Saccharomyces cerevisiae S288C: one gene and its partners. The protein of the gene in region 2 purifies or fractionates together with the protein of the main gene of each other region. This does not show direct contact. Each region holds a gene or a part of one and is shown on either strand. Other genes may lie near its edges.

What was found.
Region 1: the proteins of ARB1 (region 2) and FAS1 purify together in Saccharomyces cerevisiae (affinity purification with mass spectrometry, with the first as the bait; one study listed by BioGRID). This does not show direct contact.
Region 3: the proteins of ARB1 (region 2) and TIF11 purify together in Saccharomyces cerevisiae (affinity purification with mass spectrometry, with the first as the bait; one large-scale study listed by BioGRID). This does not show direct contact.

The regions. Positions count from the first base shown.
Region 1 is NC_001143.9:98,152-107,227, forward strand, and holds FAS1 (tetrafunctional fatty acid synthase subunit FAS1), read left to right. Parts: upstream 1-2,519; coding exon 2,520-8,675; downstream 8,676-9,076. Other genes in the region: ornithine decarboxylase SPE1, read left to right, coding at 1-6; YKL183C-A (uncharacterized protein), read right to left, coding at 244-456; LOT5 (Lot5p), read left to right, coding at 570-1,490. UniProt on the Saccharomyces cerevisiae protein: Fatty acid synthetase catalyzes the formation of long-chain fatty acids from acetyl-CoA, malonyl-CoA and NADPH.
Region 2 is NC_001137.3:221,396-226,935, forward strand, and holds ARB1 (ATP-binding cassette family ATPase ARB1), read right to left. Parts: upstream 3,805-5,540; coding exon 1,972-3,804; downstream 1-1,971. Other genes in the region: YER034W (uncharacterized protein), read left to right, coding at 451-1,008; EDC2 (Edc2p), read left to right, coding at 1,244-1,681; PHM8 (bifunctional nucleotidase/lysophosphatidic acid phosphatase), read left to right, coding at 4,494-5,459; Smc5-Smc6 complex subunit KRE29, read right to left, coding at 5,463-5,540. UniProt on the Saccharomyces cerevisiae protein: ATPase that stimulates 40S and 60S ribosome biogenesis.
Region 3 is NC_001145.3:787,407-791,524, reverse strand, and holds TIF11 (translation initiation complex factor eIF1A), read left to right. Parts: upstream 1-1,685; coding exon 1,686-2,147; downstream 2,148-4,118. Other genes in the region: TPS3 (trehalose 6-phosphate synthase/phosphatase complex subunit), read left to right, coding at 1-1,320; tRNA methylation protein TRM732, read left to right, coding at 2,642-4,118.

The DNA of each region.
Region 1 (9,076 bases), on a different chromosome or scaffold from region 2:
GATTGAAGGATATATTTAACCACGACTTTCGCAAGAGAGACGGAGGGGGTGGGAAAAGGCTGAATGCAACCATTGTCACTAAGAATTTGAGTGTTCATGAACGAGTTATACACGCTATTTAAGAGTCAGAGAATGATGATTCAAGAAAATTCTGGCATTTTTCCTGTCCACCACTGTACGCCATTGTACACAAAAGTATTTTTTTATATTTTTTTTACAATTTTTTATAATTTTTTTTTATGTTTAGTGTATATTTGCTAGAAAGAAACAAGATCTTTTTTGGTAGTGTAAATGCTTAAACTTTGTCTCTTTTTCCTTTTTACTTTGGAAAAATGCCGACGCAAGAACATAGACATCTGCGAAAACCAAAAATAAAGTACCAATTGTACATACAAAAACAGAGAAAAAGTTCATGAACAGAACGTTACTACGGTATAGCAAGATCTTTGAATACATCCATTACTTCGGATTGTTCACCATACTTCAACACAGGCCAAGATAGACCATAGCTACAGTGATAGACGAATATTTATTTCAAAAGAAGCATCAACCATAAAATAAAAAGAAAAATGATGAAAAAAAAACCAAAGTGCCAAATTGCAAGGACCAAACCATCGGTCGAAAACGTCATACCATATAACCAATTCAAGAAGACGCAGCCGCGATTCAACGGCAACTTTTCTGCACTGAATAATGAAGAATACATAATACTCTTTGGCGGAGGTCGGGACCTGATACTAGGCTCCCTGACACCTTGTTCGAGCTCTCATTTGTCCAATCAAGCCAACCCACAAGACACCAGTGAGTATGGCACAGACCTGTTTATACTCAACAGCTGCATTATCATTTGGTTCAATGGCTTGGGATATGGGCTGGAAATTCCCTACAGCAGCGTTTTGTACCATGCATCAAGACGGCTACCAGATGGTAGGGAAGGGCTTCAATTAGAAATTTTGCTGACTTTGGAAAGAGACGAAGTGTTGGACATGCTCTACCAAAGCCTCGCGCCACAGGCCTGCGAATTCGACGGCGAAGAAGCACATGCCTTCACCGTGCGCAGCGTGGAATTGACTATCAGGCCCAAATATTCAATATACGATCGCCATTATAACAACGAAATCGAAACCCTTTTCACCTTCGAAAACTTCGGCGTGAACAGGGGCGATGACCTGGTAAACAATTGTAACGAAGCACTAGCCGTATGCATGGACCTGCACGGTGAGGACGTACAAGATCAAGACCAGGAACAATACCAAGATCCAAGCATGGCGTTTGAGGGTGCGCAAGATCTCAACGCCACGTATTCTGGGCTTGGAGACACCCTTCACGGGCCGCCCGTGTATCAGAACGACGGGCTGGCAGACGATCTGGATGGCGACCTCGTTATGGACAACGTGGTCTCTAGGGGTGGTCCAGAAGCAAGTATGTCTATGGAGTTCTACGCAAATCAAAATCTTGCTGGCAGAAAGAACTCCAGAGACAATGAATGAACAACATCTATTATGGGAACATCCCGCTGTACTATGCGGTCTCGTCCTCTACGAATATGGCTATTTGCCTTCGTATATACCTTTCTATACCAAGTAATGAATGTCTTGAGGGCCCGTATGGCCGCGCGAAGGCTTAGTTAAGATGTTTCAGCAAACGGCAGCATGTGAAAAAACCCGTAGAAGGTCCGCATCAGCCTTCCATGCCCGTGCACCCACGGCTCCTCGGAGGCCGGGTTATAGCAGCGTCTGCTCCGCATCACGATACACGAGGTGCAGGCACGGTTCACTACTCCCCTGGCCTCCAACAAACGACGGCCAAAAACTTCACATGCCGCCCAGCCAAGCATAATTACGCAACAGCGATCTTTCCGTCGCACAAGTTAAAAGAAATTGTTGAAAAATACAAATAATCGCGAACAATACGTTGTTGCTATTTAACGCTTTTGGTCTGACAGTAAGTGTGCCTTTCCCAATCACCGAAAAGTGTTGAACGATTCACTGCGACAATAATCAGAGATTACAGTCGGCATTTTGGCATTTTTGGCATACTTTTTATCGATTGAACCATCTTCTCCAAACACTTTTCCTTTTTCCTTCTATTCTGCAGGACCAACTAAAACTGGGTATATATATCATTATCTATATATATAAACGGCTTTCAACAAAGTTATAGGGGAAAACTAAAAATATAAGAAAAAAAAAGGTATTGATTGATAAGGAAAAAGAACCAAGGGAAAAATATAAAAAAGTACATTGGGCCTTTTCATACTTGTTATCACTTACATTACAAAGAAGAACAAACAACTTTTTTAAACGAATTTTCTTTCTTCCTTTTTCAATTTATTAATTCTTTTTTTCCATACAATTCAAGGTCAAATATATTCTTATATGCTCTTTGAATATTTCTGAAAAATATATAAAGAAAAGAAACTACAAGAACATCATCCGGAAAATCAGATTATAGACTAGGATTCCGCTCTTTTTAGTATATTTATTCGCCACACCTAACTGCTCTATTATTCGCTCATTATGGACGCTTACTCCACAAGACCATTAACCCTATCTCACGGTTCTTTAGAGCACGTGCTTCTGGTACCAACCGCTTCATTTTTCATTGCTTCGCAATTACAAGAACAATTTAATAAAATTTTGCCCGAACCCACTGAAGGGTTTGCTGCAGATGACGAGCCTACCACACCTGCTGAACTAGTGGGGAAATTCCTTGGCTACGTATCTTCTCTAGTCGAACCTTCCAAGGTCGGTCAATTCGATCAGGTCTTGAACCTTTGCTTAACAGAATTTGAAAACTGTTATTTAGAAGGCAATGACATTCACGCCTTGGCTGCTAAACTATTACAGGAAAACGACACAACTTTAGTGAAGACTAAAGAACTAATTAAAAATTATATTACCGCCAGAATAATGGCTAAGAGACCATTTGACAAAAAATCCAACTCTGCTCTTTTTAGGGCCGTCGGCGAGGGTAACGCACAATTGGTAGCCATTTTCGGTGGTCAAGGTAACACCGACGACTACTTTGAAGAATTGCGTGATCTATATCAAACTTATCATGTCTTAGTGGGAGATTTAATCAAGTTCTCCGCTGAAACTTTAAGTGAACTGATTAGAACTACTTTAGATGCTGAAAAAGTCTTTACTCAAGGTTTAAACATATTGGAATGGTTGGAGAACCCTTCAAATACCCCAGACAAGGACTATTTACTTTCCATTCCAATTTCATGCCCCTTAATTGGTGTCATTCAATTGGCTCACTACGTAGTTACTGCCAAGCTTTTGGGTTTCACTCCAGGTGAGTTAAGATCTTACTTAAAAGGTGCTACAGGTCACTCTCAAGGTTTGGTTACTGCTGTCGCCATAGCTGAGACGGATTCCTGGGAATCCTTCTTCGTCTCCGTAAGAAAAGCAATTACTGTATTATTCTTCATCGGTGTTCGTTGTTACGAAGCATACCCAAACACTTCCCTACCACCATCCATCTTGGAAGATTCCTTGGAAAACAATGAAGGTGTTCCATCTCCAATGTTGTCCATTTCCAATCTAACTCAAGAACAAGTTCAAGACTATGTAAATAAGACTAACTCTCATTTGCCAGCTGGTAAACAAGTTGAAATTTCTCTAGTCAATGGTGCGAAGAATCTAGTCGTATCGGGCCCACCACAATCATTATATGGTTTAAACTTGACTTTAAGAAAGGCCAAGGCCCCATCTGGACTGGATCAATCAAGAATCCCATTCAGCGAAAGAAAATTGAAGTTCTCCAATAGGTTCTTACCTGTTGCATCACCATTCCATTCCCATCTATTGGTTCCAGCTTCAGATTTGATTAACAAAGACTTAGTCAAAAACAATGTCAGCTTTAACGCTAAAGATATTCAAATCCCCGTTTACGACACTTTTGATGGTTCAGATCTAAGAGTCCTTTCAGGTTCCATTTCCGAGAGAATCGTCGACTGCATCATTAGATTACCTGTCAAATGGGAAACTACTACACAATTCAAAGCCACCCACATATTAGACTTTGGTCCAGGTGGAGCTTCCGGTTTAGGTGTTTTAACCCATCGTAATAAAGATGGTACTGGTGTTCGTGTTATCGTTGCCGGTACTCTCGACATTAACCCAGATGATGATTACGGATTCAAGCAAGAAATCTTTGATGTTACTAGTAATGGTTTGAAGAAAAATCCAAACTGGTTGGAAGAATACCATCCAAAATTAATTAAGAACAAATCAGGCAAAATTTTTGTCGAAACAAAATTTTCTAAATTAATCGGTAGACCACCTTTATTGGTTCCTGGTATGACACCATGTACTGTTTCTCCAGATTTCGTAGCTGCTACCACAAATGCTGGTTATACCATTGAGTTGGCCGGTGGTGGTTACTTTTCCGCAGCAGGTATGACCGCCGCTATTGATTCTGTGGTTTCTCAGATAGAAAAGGGTAGTACCTTCGGTATCAACTTGATCTACGTCAATCCATTTATGTTACAATGGGGTATTCCATTAATCAAGGAACTAAGAAGCAAAGGTTATCCAATTCAATTCTTGACCATTGGTGCTGGTGTCCCATCATTGGAAGTTGCTAGTGAATACATAGAGACATTAGGTTTGAAGTACTTGGGTTTGAAACCAGGTTCCATTGATGCTATTTCGCAAGTTATAAACATTGCTAAAGCACATCCAAACTTCCCAATAGCTTTACAATGGACCGGTGGTAGAGGTGGTGGTCATCATTCTTTCGAAGATGCCCACACTCCAATGTTACAAATGTACTCCAAGATTAGAAGACATCCAAACATTATGTTGATATTCGGTTCTGGTTTCGGTTCTGCTGATGACACTTACCCATACTTAACCGGTGAATGGTCCACAAAATTCGATTATCCACCAATGCCATTCGATGGTTTCCTATTTGGTTCGAGGGTCATGATTGCTAAGGAAGTTAAAACTTCTCCTGATGCTAAGAAGTGTATTGCTGCTTGTACTGGTGTTCCTGATGATAAATGGGAACAAACCTACAAGAAGCCAACTGGTGGTATTGTCACTGTTCGCTCTGAAATGGGTGAACCAATTCACAAAATTGCCACTCGTGGTGTTATGCTATGGAAGGAATTCGACGAAACCATCTTCAACTTACCAAAGAATAAGTTGGTACCAACTTTGGAAGCAAAGAGAGATTACATTATCTCAAGATTGAACGCCGATTTCCAAAAACCATGGTTTGCTACCGTCAACGGTCAAGCCCGTGACCTAGCCACAATGACATACGAAGAAGTTGCAAAGAGATTGGTGGAATTAATGTTCATCAGATCTACCAACTCTTGGTTTGATGTCACATGGAGAACCTTTACTGGTGATTTCCTACGTCGTGTCGAAGAACGTTTCACTAAAAGTAAGACATTGTCTTTAATCCAATCCTATTCTCTACTAGACAAGCCTGATGAAGCTATTGAAAAAGTATTTAATGCTTATCCTGCCGCTAGGGAACAGTTCTTGAATGCGCAAGATATTGATCACTTTTTGAGCATGTGTCAAAATCCAATGCAAAAACCAGTGCCTTTTGTTCCAGTTTTGGATCGTAGATTCGAGATTTTTTTCAAAAAAGATTCGTTATGGCAATCTGAGCACTTGGAAGCCGTCGTCGACCAAGACGTTCAAAGAACATGTATCCTACATGGACCTGTTGCAGCACAATTCACTAAAGTCATCGATGAACCAATTAAGAGCATTATGGATGGTATTCACGATGGTCACATCAAAAAGTTACTACATCAATATTACGGTGACGATGAGTCAAAGATTCCAGCAGTTGAGTACTTTGGTGGTGAAAGCCCTGTAGACGTACAAAGTCAAGTTGATTCTTCCTCTGTATCTGAAGACTCAGCTGTTTTTAAGGCAACATCCTCTACTGATGAAGAAAGCTGGTTTAAGGCTTTGGCGGGATCCGAAATTAACTGGAGACATGCAAGTTTCTTATGTTCCTTTATCACTCAAGATAAAATGTTTGTTTCTAACCCAATTAGAAAAGTTTTCAAGCCAAGCCAAGGAATGGTTGTTGAGATTTCCAACGGCAATACTTCTTCAAAGACTGTTGTCACTCTTTCAGAACCTGTTCAAGGTGAATTGAAACCAACTGTTATTTTGAAGTTGTTGAAGGAGAACATAATCCAAATGGAAATGATTGAGAACAGAACTATGGATGGTAAGCCCGTCAGCTTGCCATTGTTGTACAACTTCAACCCAGATAATGGTTTTGCTCCAATCTCTGAAGTTATGGAGGACAGAAACCAAAGAATTAAGGAAATGTACTGGAAATTATGGATTGATGAGCCTTTCAATTTGGACTTTGACCCAAGAGATGTCATTAAGGGCAAAGATTTCGAGATCACCGCTAAAGAAGTTTATGACTTTACACACGCTGTTGGAAACAATTGTGAAGACTTCGTTTCTAGACCTGATAGAACGATGTTGGCCCCAATGGACTTTGCTATTGTTGTCGGATGGAGAGCCATCATCAAGGCCATTTTCCCTAATACGGTCGATGGTGACTTATTGAAGTTGGTTCATTTGTCTAACGGCTACAAGATGATTCCTGGCGCTAAGCCACTGCAAGTTGGTGATGTTGTTTCAACTACTGCTGTTATTGAATCTGTCGTCAACCAACCTACAGGAAAGATTGTCGATGTGGTAGGTACATTATCGAGAAATGGCAAGCCTGTCATGGAAGTCACCTCCTCATTCTTCTACAGAGGCAACTATACTGACTTTGAAAACACTTTCCAAAAGACTGTTGAACCTGTTTATCAAATGCACATCAAAACTTCTAAAGATATAGCTGTCTTGCGCTCTAAGGAGTGGTTCCAATTGGACGATGAAGACTTCGATCTGTTAAACAAAACTTTGACTTTCGAAACTGAAACTGAAGTTACTTTCAAGAATGCTAACATCTTCTCTTCAGTGAAATGTTTTGGCCCAATTAAAGTTGAATTGCCAACCAAAGAAACCGTGGAGATCGGTATTGTCGATTACGAAGCCGGTGCCTCTCACGGTAACCCTGTTGTTGATTTCTTGAAGAGAAACGGTTCCACATTGGAACAAAAGGTCAATCTAGAAAATCCTATTCCAATTGCAGTACTTGATTCGTACACTCCAAGTACCAACGAACCATACGCTAGAGTTTCTGGTGATTTGAATCCAATTCACGTTTCACGTCATTTTGCCTCTTACGCAAACTTGCCAGGTACTATCACGCACGGTATGTTTTCTTCTGCTTCCGTCCGTGCTTTGATTGAAAACTGGGCTGCTGACAGTGTTTCATCCAGGGTACGTGGCTACACTTGTCAATTTGTTGACATGGTTTTGCCTAACACTGCTTTGAAAACATCGATTCAACATGTTGGTATGATCAATGGTAGAAAATTGATAAAGTTTGAAACTAGAAATGAAGATGACGTTGTAGTTTTGACTGGTGAAGCCGAAATTGAACAACCTGTTACTACCTTCGTTTTCACTGGTCAAGGTTCACAAGAACAAGGTATGGGTATGGACTTATACAAAACTTCTAAAGCTGCTCAAGATGTTTGGAATAGAGCTGACAACCATTTCAAGGACACTTATGGTTTCTCTATCTTAGACATTGTCATTAACAACCCAGTTAACTTAACAATTCACTTCGGTGGTGAAAAGGGTAAGAGGATCAGAGAAAACTATTCTGCTATGATCTTTGAGACTATCGTGGATGGAAAATTGAAGACTGAAAAAATTTTCAAGGAAATTAATGAGCACAGTACTTCTTACACATTTAGATCTGAAAAAGGTTTATTGTCTGCTACTCAATTTACACAACCAGCTTTAACTTTGATGGAAAAAGCTGCTTTCGAAGACTTGAAATCTAAAGGTTTGATCCCAGCCGATGCTACTTTTGCTGGTCACTCTTTAGGTGAGTATGCTGCTTTGGCCTCTTTGGCTGATGTTATGTCTATCGAATCTTTAGTTGAAGTTGTGTTCTACAGAGGTATGACTATGCAAGTTGCTGTTCCAAGAGATGAGTTGGGCAGATCCAACTATGGTATGATTGCCATTAACCCAGGTAGAGTCGCTGCATCATTCTCTCAAGAAGCTTTGCAATATGTTGTTGAGAGAGTTGGTAAGAGAACCGGCTGGTTGGTTGAAATCGTCAACTACAACGTTGAAAACCAACAATATGTTGCAGCTGGTGATCTAAGAGCTTTAGACACCGTTACCAATGTTCTAAACTTCATCAAATTACAAAAAATTGATATTATTGAACTACAAAAGTCCTTATCTTTGGAAGAAGTTGAAGGTCATTTGTTTGAGATCATTGACGAAGCTTCCAAGAAATCTGCTGTCAAGCCTCGCCCACTTAAATTGGAGAGAGGTTTTGCTTGTATCCCATTAGTTGGTATTTCTGTTCCTTTCCATTCCACCTACTTGATGAATGGTGTTAAACCATTCAAGAGTTTCTTGAAGAAGAATATCATAAAAGAAAATGTGAAGGTTGCTAGATTGGCCGGAAAGTACATTCCAAACTTGACTGCAAAACCATTCCAGGTTACTAAGGAATATTTCCAGGACGTTTATGATTTGACTGGCTCCGAACCTATCAAGGAAATCATCGACAACTGGGAAAAGTATGAACAATCCTAATTTCTTAAGTGATTATATAACCGTAAGAAATATTTAACTTTGAAACTCCTGTATACTAATGTTTAATATAGCTGGCTTATGATTTTAGTTCTCTTCTCCTATTATAAATAGATACATTGATTAGGTATTTTTATAATATACTTGGGATTAACAGATGCTATATGAATTTTTTTTTCCGCCGCAAGCCCTCGCTAGGGCGGGGCAGATGCTGAAGAAAAAATTTTCTGTTCCATTGGGTTATGTTTAAAAATCAACGATATTCGAACATAATCGATGACCTTGATGATTAGCGAAGTTCTGCTCTAAAGAAATTAGCTTTAAAAACAGCTCCATTATTAGTGTAAACTGCTACTTCAACTCTTTACTCGAAAAGTTGAAACAAGTGTCTATTCCGCACATCT
Region 2 (5,540 bases):
AAAAAAAAAAAAGGAAAATAACCAGCTAAGATTTAAGGTACAAGAAAGCGGTTGCACCTCAAGTAATGATAGTTATTAAACCTTGGATTGGACCAGATGTTTAAAATTGTTTTCAATAGTAGATTTGCAGTCGTAAATGCGTTCTCAGCAATATCATATTGTGTTTATGAAGTATTACCAAACGGGTAGAAGAACGGTTTAAGAGAATATGTCCGGATAAAGCGATCAGGAGAAAAGCTTAAAACCCAAAGTGGTCAATCTGCAGCCCATTTAGGCACTCTGCATTTAACCGATACCCGGATTGAAGAAAGCTGGCGGGTGTATGGGTGAAGGAGAAGAAAGGAAGTGATTAGGAGAAACCTCATGGAGATGAGCACATGCTACAACTAATAACGTTATTCTACTTAAAACGAGCAAAACAAAAAAAAAAACAAGACAATTGAAAACGCAATGGATGCATTCAGCTTAAAGAAGGATAATCGAAAAAAATTTCAAGATAAACAGAAATTGAAAAGAAAACATGCCACACCCAGTGATAGAAAGTACCGGCTATTGAACCGCCAAAAAGAAGAGAAAGCTACCACAGAGGAGAAAGATCAAGACCAAGAACAGCCCGCCCTGAAGTCAAACGAGGACAGGTACTATGAGGACCCGGTACTCGAGGACCCGCATTCTGCAGTCGCCAATGCAGAGTTGAACAAGGTGCTAAAAGACGTCCTCAAAAATCGGCTCCAGCAGAACGACGACGCCACAGCCGTCAATAATGTTGCTAATAAAGATACTTTGAAAATCAAAGACCTCAAGCAGATGAATACGGATGAGCTCAATCGTTGGCTCGGACGGCAGAATACAACATCGGCTATAACAGCGGCTGAGCCCGAATCATTAGTCGTTCCCATTCACGTACAAGGTGATCATGATCGTGCGGGCAAGAAGATCAGTGCCCCTTCGACCGATCTACCGGAAGAACTAGAGACCGATCAGGATTTCCTTGATGGACTGCTCTAATCGCGCGGTACGACAGTTACTGCGTGAAAAGATTATCAGCGCCCCTTTTTTTCTTCTTTGTTCTTAACGTTTCTTTTTCTTGCGGCTTATGCCCGTACTTATAAAACAACGGCCTCCCGTGCCCTATTACCTTCCTGATAGACCGGACAATAACGTCACTACATACAAAGTTATACACTAACAGAAACTCAAACACAAACGTTTTTATAATAGTCAAAATTAAATATCTCTCATAATGGGTTCCGAGACAAAACATTCTGCAAAAGTCAAGATTGTCACAAGGGAAAGTCCTCCTTCCGCCAAGGAGCACATGCGCCCCACTAAAACTCAAATATTAGTTCCACCGACGCAGAGTTTGCCCAATGGCAAGAAACCAAACTTCGGTAAGTCTACAAAACAGCGGCGAGAACCTAGGGAACGCACCTCGAAGACGGGACACGAGGACGATAAGGCAACGATGGTCACTGTTAACATAGATGCCTTCCTACATGATAAGGCCCCTAAAAAAAAATCGTGCAAATACAAGAAGAAGAAAACGAGACAGTACCAGGATAGGGCGGCGGCGTCGATCGATTCGAAACCGCACGTAGCTGGTCATACGGCCTTTGCCGGTGCTTCGTTCACAACAGATATCCCACATGAGGCAGCGCTACCCAAACCTAGTTTTGTTTGAGTAGCTGTGATTGTAAATTTTTTTATTTCTACTTGAGCGGGCGGGCTCTCATTTTTTTTTTTGGGGTTTTATTTAGGTCGGATTATTCATAAAGATGGCATTTATATACATTTTTACGCAATTACCCTCATATTCTTACACATACGGAGAAGTCATTGTTATATCTTCTTGCCTTCACATTGTTATCGGTGATTTTCTTTCTTTATTGATTGATTAGTTATATAAATTATTGCTATTAAAATACATAAAAGGGGAAGTAAAAACGTGCACGGCGCAGATCAACTTCACAATTACAAAACAACGTTCTTGGCCAATTTGTTCTTATATTGCAAAATGGATCCGTCCCATCTGGTAGCGGTCTTGTTTTCCACAACGAAAATATCTTGGGCAATTTTGTCTAATAATCTGAAATCATGCGAAACGACGACGACACCACCGTTAAATTCGTTGATGGCGTCGGCCAAGGAGTCGATGGTTGGGATATCCAAACCATTGGTAGGTTCATCTAATAGTAGGACATTTGGTTGTTCTAAAGCTAATAAAGCAAAGACGACACGAGAACGTTGACCTTCTGACAAGGTAGCCATTTGAACGGTTTGACCTTCCCCGGTTAGCCCGTAGCGACCTAGTTGGCCTCTCCAGAATTGGAAATCTTGTGAGATGTTAGAGTACTTGTCACGGACAAATTCTAAAGCAGATTTTGTCAAGTCCAGTTGATCTTGAGAGTGTTGCGAGTAGACACCCAACTTGACATGGGTATGTCTAGAAACACGGCCAGATTGTGGGGTCAATTCACCGGTCATAATCTTCAACAATGTGGATTTACCAACACCATTTGGTCCGACAAGGGCAATACGTGAGTCCATATCGACACCAAAGTTCAAATGTTCGTACAAGTTTTCGGATGGGTTGCTCTCATAATGAAATGAAATATCATCGAATGCTAAAACTGGTGGTGGCAATCTTTCCACTTGTGGGAATCTAAATGAGAAAACTTTGTCAGGGACGACAGGTTGGACTAAACCATCTGCTTCCATCTTGTCCAAAATTTTTTGTCTAGATTTAGCTTGTTTCACCAAGTTAGCATAAGTACCAGCAGATGCAATGAATTTTTTAATATGTTGGATTTCCTCTTGTTGTTTATTGTATTGTTTCATTTGATTGGTTTCCAATTCGGATCTTGTCTTGTGATAAGAATCATAGTTACCACCGTAAGCAGTTAGTTTTTGAGCTCTCATGTCAATCATATTGGTACAAACACCGTTCAAGAAATCTTGAGAGTGGGACACCAAAACTAAAGTTCTGTCAAATCTCTTCAAATATTCTTCTAACCAAACACAAGCTTCCAAATCCAGATGCGCAGTAGGATCATCCAACAATAATAGAGTTGGCTTAACGAAAAGAGCTTTTGCCAACGCAACACGCATTTTCCATCCACCAGACATATCTTTGGTTTTCTTCAAAATGGTCTTCTTGTTGAAACCTAGACCGATCAAAATGATAGCAGCTCTAGATTCAAAGGTGTCTGGATCCAAAGAGTCCATTCTTTCATATAGAGGCTCTAATAACTCGGACTCAGGACCATCTTCCAAGATAGTCTTTTCGACTAAGTCTTCTATTCTTTTCAATTCGTGTTGAGCTTCAGTGACAACGTAGTCCAAGGCCGACAATTCACTTGGTTCCGCAGGTTCGTCCAATAAATAAATATCAATATGCTCAGGAATAGGATATTCTCTAGTAGCAAGAGCCTTTAAGAATGTTGACTTACCACAACCATTTTCTCCCAGAAGACCATATCTACGGCCGTAGTTTAATTCTAAACCAGAATCTTGGATCAAAACTTTACCGTGGAACAGTAAAGAAACAGAAGATAGCTTGATATCACGGGAAGTCTCCAATGAACTCAAAACACCAGTGACAACACGATCTGAAAGACCATCCTTATCTTGTTGCAACTTCATCATCTTGATTTCTCTAGCGGCTGCATCTACCTCCGATTCTTCAGCAGCAGCCTCCTTTTTTCTACCTAGCTTTCTGATGGTTTTACCGGCAGCGGCTTTCTTAGCCTCTCTTTCAGCTTTCTTAGCATCTCTCTTGGCCTTTGACGCAGATACTGGTGGCATATTTGGTTCTGTCAAGTTACTGTTTGTAGCACTGAGGGGAAGAAAACAATTTTTGCAAGAAAAAAGTTAAGAAAGAAGAAGAAAAACTACACGGGCACTAACATGTTAAATATGATAATATTTTTTTTTATAAGAGAATCACTACCAAGTTACCTGAACTACGTCAAGGAAAAGCCATTAATTGAGATGAGGTGAACGAAGAAAAAAAAAAAGAAAAAAATTTTTATTTTTTTTTCCATCGGTCTCCCCCCTCACCTTTCTTTTTTCATTCGTTTAAAGTGAGATTAGGGTAATGCATTTCGTATTTAGTGAGTAAACGTCAAAGGTGATATAGGGGGTTTTTCTTTTTCCAGAAAAAGAAAGAAAAAAGCCGGCGGTCGCCGCCGGAGATGGTTGAGAAAAAAAGGGGGCAGCAACGTGCTTCACATACAAACCAAGTTCTTGGATCTGTACGATCGTTTCTGCGGGTTTTTCCGTATTTGCCGCAATACTGAAATGGCTCATTATTAGGAGATGTGCATATAATGTATATACATACATTTAGCATATGTAATACATTCGTACATGTATAGAAATATATGTTTATATATATATATATATATATATGTATATACGAACTCGGTTTAACGCATAGTTGGTAAAAGATTTAATGTAGATAAAAAACACATAAGTTTTATACGCACGTAATCATGACTATCGCTAAAGATTACAGAACAATTTATAGAAACCAAATCAAAAAGCAGATACGACTAAATCAGGAGCATTTGCAAAGCTTGACACATCTAGGCTCACAAATCAATTTCGAGGTGGATCCTCCCAAATTACCGGATCCGGATCCTGCTCGAAAAGTATTTTTCTTTGATATCGATAACACTTTGTACAGAAAATCTACGAAGGTACAATTGCTCATGCAACAATCATTATCAAATTTCTTTAAATACGAATTGGGGTTTGACGACGATGAGGCAGAACGCCTAATCGAATCGTATTATCAAGAATATGGATTATCCGTGAAAGGTTTAATAAAGAATAAACAAATTGATGACGTCCTACAATATAATACATTCATCGATGATTCCTTACCTTTGCAAGACTATTTAAAGCCTGATTGGAAGTTAAGGGAGCTGCTGATCAATTTAAAGAAAAAGAAGCTCGGCAAATTTGACAAACTATGGCTGTTTACAAACTCGTACAAAAATCATGCCATCAGATGTGTTAAAATATTAGGTATTGCTGATCTATTTGACGGCATAACCTATTGCCACTACGACAGACCCATCGAGGAAGAATTCATTTGCAAGCCAGATCCAAAATTCTTCGAAACAGCTAAATTGCAAAGTGGGTTGTCGAGCTTTGCAAATGCCTGGTTTATTGATGACAACGAAAGCAATGTGCGGAGCGCGTTGAGCATGGGGATGGGCCATGTTATCCATTTGATAGAGGATTACCAATATGAGTCAGAAAATATTGTTACTAAGGACCACAAAAATAAGCAACAATTTTCCATATTGAAAGATATCCTTGAGATTCCATTGATAATGGACGTTGAAGTTTACCGTCCATCCTCTATTGCCATAAAGGAAATGGAAGAGTTGGAAGAGGAAGGGGAAGCAGTCAACTGGTCAAATCAACAGATCAATGTTCAGTCATCATGACTGTTACCTGATTTTAGAAAACAAATTTAATATTCCCTTCAGGATAGAAATTTCAACATCATTTGTCGTTTCATTAGAAAT
Region 3 (4,118 bases), on a different chromosome or scaffold from region 2:
AGTTCCGATCCTGAGTACGAACGTCAAATTATGGTTGTCGTTGATAGAATCAATTCTTTGTCTTCGAACATCAGTATCTCTCAACCAGTGGTCTTTTTGCATCAAGATTTAGATTTTGCTCAATATTTGGCATTGAATTGTGAAGCTGACGTTTTCCTTGTGGATGCGCTGAGAGAAGGTATGAATTTAACATGTCATGAGTTCATTGTCAGTTCATTCGAAAAAAATGCGCCTCTATTATTATCTGAATTCACTGGTAGTTCTTCTGTCCTAAAGGAAGGTGCCATCTTAATAAACCCATGGGATATAAATCATGTAGCACAAAGTATCAAGAGAAGTTTAGAAATGTCTCCAGAAGAAAAAAGGCGTAGGTGGAAAAAATTATTCAAATCTGTTATTGAACATGATTCGGATAATTGGATTACAAAGTGCTTCGAATACATAAATAATGCTTGGGAGTCCAACCAAGAAACGTCTACTGTTTTCAATTTGGCTCCAGAAAAATTCTGTGCTGATTACAAAGCCTCCAAAAAGCATTTATTTATCTTCAAGATTTCAGAACCTCCAACGTCCAGAATGCTATCCTTGCTAAGTGAATTGAGTTCAAATAATATAGTTTACGTTTTGAGTTCATTTACAAAGAATACATTCGAAAGCTTATACAATGGTGTTCTAAACATCGGATTGATAGCGGAGAATGGTGCCTACGTAAGAGTTAATGGGTCGTGGTACAACATCGTGGAAGAGCTTGATTGGATGAAAGAGGTGGCAAAGATCTTTGACGAGAAAGTCGAGAGGTTACCTGGTTCATACTACAAAATCGCTGATTCTATGATCAGATTCCATACAGAAAACGCTGATGATCAAGATCGAGTCCCAACTGTTATTGGGGAAGCCATTACGCACATAAACACCTTATTTGATGACAGGGATATTCACGCTTATGTGCATAAGGATATTGTCTTCGTTCAACAAACGGGGCTAGCCTTAGCCGCCGCTGAGTTTTTGATGAAATTTTACAACAGTGGCGTCAGTCCTACTGACAATAGCAGAATATCTCTATCAAGAACATCCTCTTCGATGTCCGTCGGTAATAATAAGAAGCATTTCCAAAACCAGGTAGATTTCGTTTGCGTTTCCGGTTCGACATCACCTATTATTGAACCATTATTTAAATTAGTGAAGCAAGAGGTTGAAAAGAACAATCTAAAATTTGGTTACACCATTCTTTACGGTAGCTCAAGATCCACTTATGCCAAGGAACATATCAATGGTGTCAATGAACTTTTTACCATCCTTCATGACTTGACAGCCGCCTAAGCGATCATTTTCCCTCCTGTACTTTCAAAATGTTCTCTTTCTTATTCTTCAGTTATAGTTTTTACGAGCGATTATAAATATAAAAGTACGATCTTCCTTTTACGTATATATGTATATACAGCACGATAAATTACAAACAAGTTTCAACTAACAATGTGGGTTATTTCTCATATTGTTAATGAGATCTTATAATAATCATTATACACGAACGCTATTTTTCACTTTTTTTTCATTTTTGTTTTCGCCGCAAGAAGTAATAGTGAAAAATTGAAAAAAGCTTCAATTTTAGTTTGCTGAAAGAAACCTTTACTTATGTAGAAGGTGTACTTGCAAAAGCACTAGTGTAATATAGAGCAAAGTTCATCATGGGTAAGAAAAACACTAAAGGTGGTAAAAAAGGTAGAAGAGGTAAGAACGACTCTGACGGTCCAAAGCGTGAACTTATTTATAAGGAAGAAGGCCAAGAATATGCTCAAATCACCAAGATGTTGGGTAATGGAAGAGTCGAAGCCAGTTGCTTTGATGGTAATAAGAGAATGGCCCATATTAGAGGTAAGTTAAGAAAGAAAGTCTGGATGGGACAAGGTGATATTATTCTTGTTTCCTTAAGAGATTTCCAAGATGACCAATGTGATGTTGTCCACAAATATAATTTAGATGAAGCCAGAACACTGAAAAACCAAGGTGAACTTCCTGAAAACGCCAAAATTAATGAAACAGACAACTTTGGTTTCGAATCTGATGAAGACGTTAACTTTGAATTTGGTAACGCTGATGAAGATGATGAGGAAGGTGAAGATGAAGAACTTGATATTGATGACATTTAATTTAGGCCGAACAAGTGTCCTCAATATCTTCTAATGCGTCAACTATTCATAATTTATTTATAATTATATTTTTTAGTCCATCATAGGAAAGGGTTTTCTTTTTACTATATCGAAATACTTATATATAGATATCAAAAAAAGAATAAAAATGAAATACCTCAAGAAGTCGTTTAATCTTCCTTCTAGGGTTTCTTTCAAGCGGACGTTAAGGAGACGTAATAAAAATTTTCTCGCACGAGAAATTTGAGCAAAGAGCACGTTGCGAATACGTTTTATCCATTCATCGTTTTTAATTTATTACCTTTTCTTTCGATGCTGTTTATTGTCACTCATGAGTGCTTCCGTTTTTTCCATCGAAAATTTACTTTTTTAGACTGAAAAGAAAATGAAAAGTTAAAATAAATTTTTACCAGAAAATGCTCATCGCAGGAAAATGACAATACTATTGTGAGCTTCCCGAGGTACACATTACTTCATACTGAAAGTTTCAAAAAATGACTACGGATGTGCAATTTTCAAGTCAGGAAATCGAGCTTTTCCGTGTCAAAGAATTCTTGATTGCTAATAATCCAGCAAAGATCAACAATGAAAATAAGGATGCTGTTTTAACTCAGATTGAGCATGATTTCAGGTATTTAATACAGTATATCAAGGACGGATTACCGAACTTAAATGAGTCCACAAGGTTAATTTTTCCAGATACCTTTTCGATCTGTTTACTAAGGAGCCATCAAATAATTGCAAGCAAAAAAATTGACTCTCAAGAATTTTTATCGGCGGTAAAAGAGCAACTCTTAACTGAAGCGAATGCAAATATTATCTTTGAATATGTTCTTGACTTTTGGGCTGATGGTGGAGCCCCACTGATGAATGCCTTGAGAGATTTATTCAGTAAACTACTGAACTTATTGAAAATCACATATCCTATGTCAACCTTGAAGGATGTTTTATTTAATTGGATGAATGAAATATTAGAAGTACCATCTACGTTGCGTGTTCAGTATTACTTGATTGATGCCCTTTCTTCTGATTTTGACCTTTATTATATTATAGAAAAAAAGCCTCATTTCATCGATAACTCTTTTTCATTAATGAACTCTGATTTGCTAGCAAATTCGGTAGGTAAATGCATTGTTAGTTTGCTGTTAAACATTTACGAAAAGCATTTCAAAAAGAACGAGTCTTTTGTACAAGAATGGATACAATTATGGAAAAGTTGTGCTTTAAAGTACATTCACGACAAACAATACACCAAATCCATTAATCTGTATATTATGATTCCATTATTCAAAAATATGCCAAACTCGGCCTTCACACTTTTCCTAGAATGTATGTCTAACAAAGACCCATCACTTTTGCTCTCACTTTTAAAGATTGGCCAAGAATTGGGGATTGAAGAAGAACCATTTTGTGATAATAAATATACCACTGTAGATTCTGTTAACAAACTCATAGAGCAAGATGAGTATAAACTTCAGGTATTTGAAATACTGACCTTTTCGACAAAAAAGTCAAAGCCTATTCGTCCCTTCGTCTTCAAAACTATAAAACAGTACCTATATGTGTTCTTCGTGGACACTGAACTTGAACGCAGAAATTACTTTTGCAGTTCGATGAAACACTTTATATTTAGAACCAGAGACTGCGCATACTCTTTAGCTAGGGATGCCAGAAAGCTTAAAAAGGCTGAGAAATTTCCGGACGAACAGAGGGAAAAGTTGGCGCAAGTTGAGGAGGCTAGAGCCTTTTTGGTTTGGCTATGCAATTTTATAAAATATAATTTGGCCCCTGGTACTTTATATCAGGCGAACGTGACCTCATTAAAACTTATGCACATTCTGATCAAGTCTGGTGTTGATAAATCTACTCCACAAAAATTTTTAGACAACCAAAATAAGAGGGAATATCCTTTTTCTATCCCAATTTTACAGGATGTCACATTTTTAAGGTTGCTCATTGACCTTTTGGTTA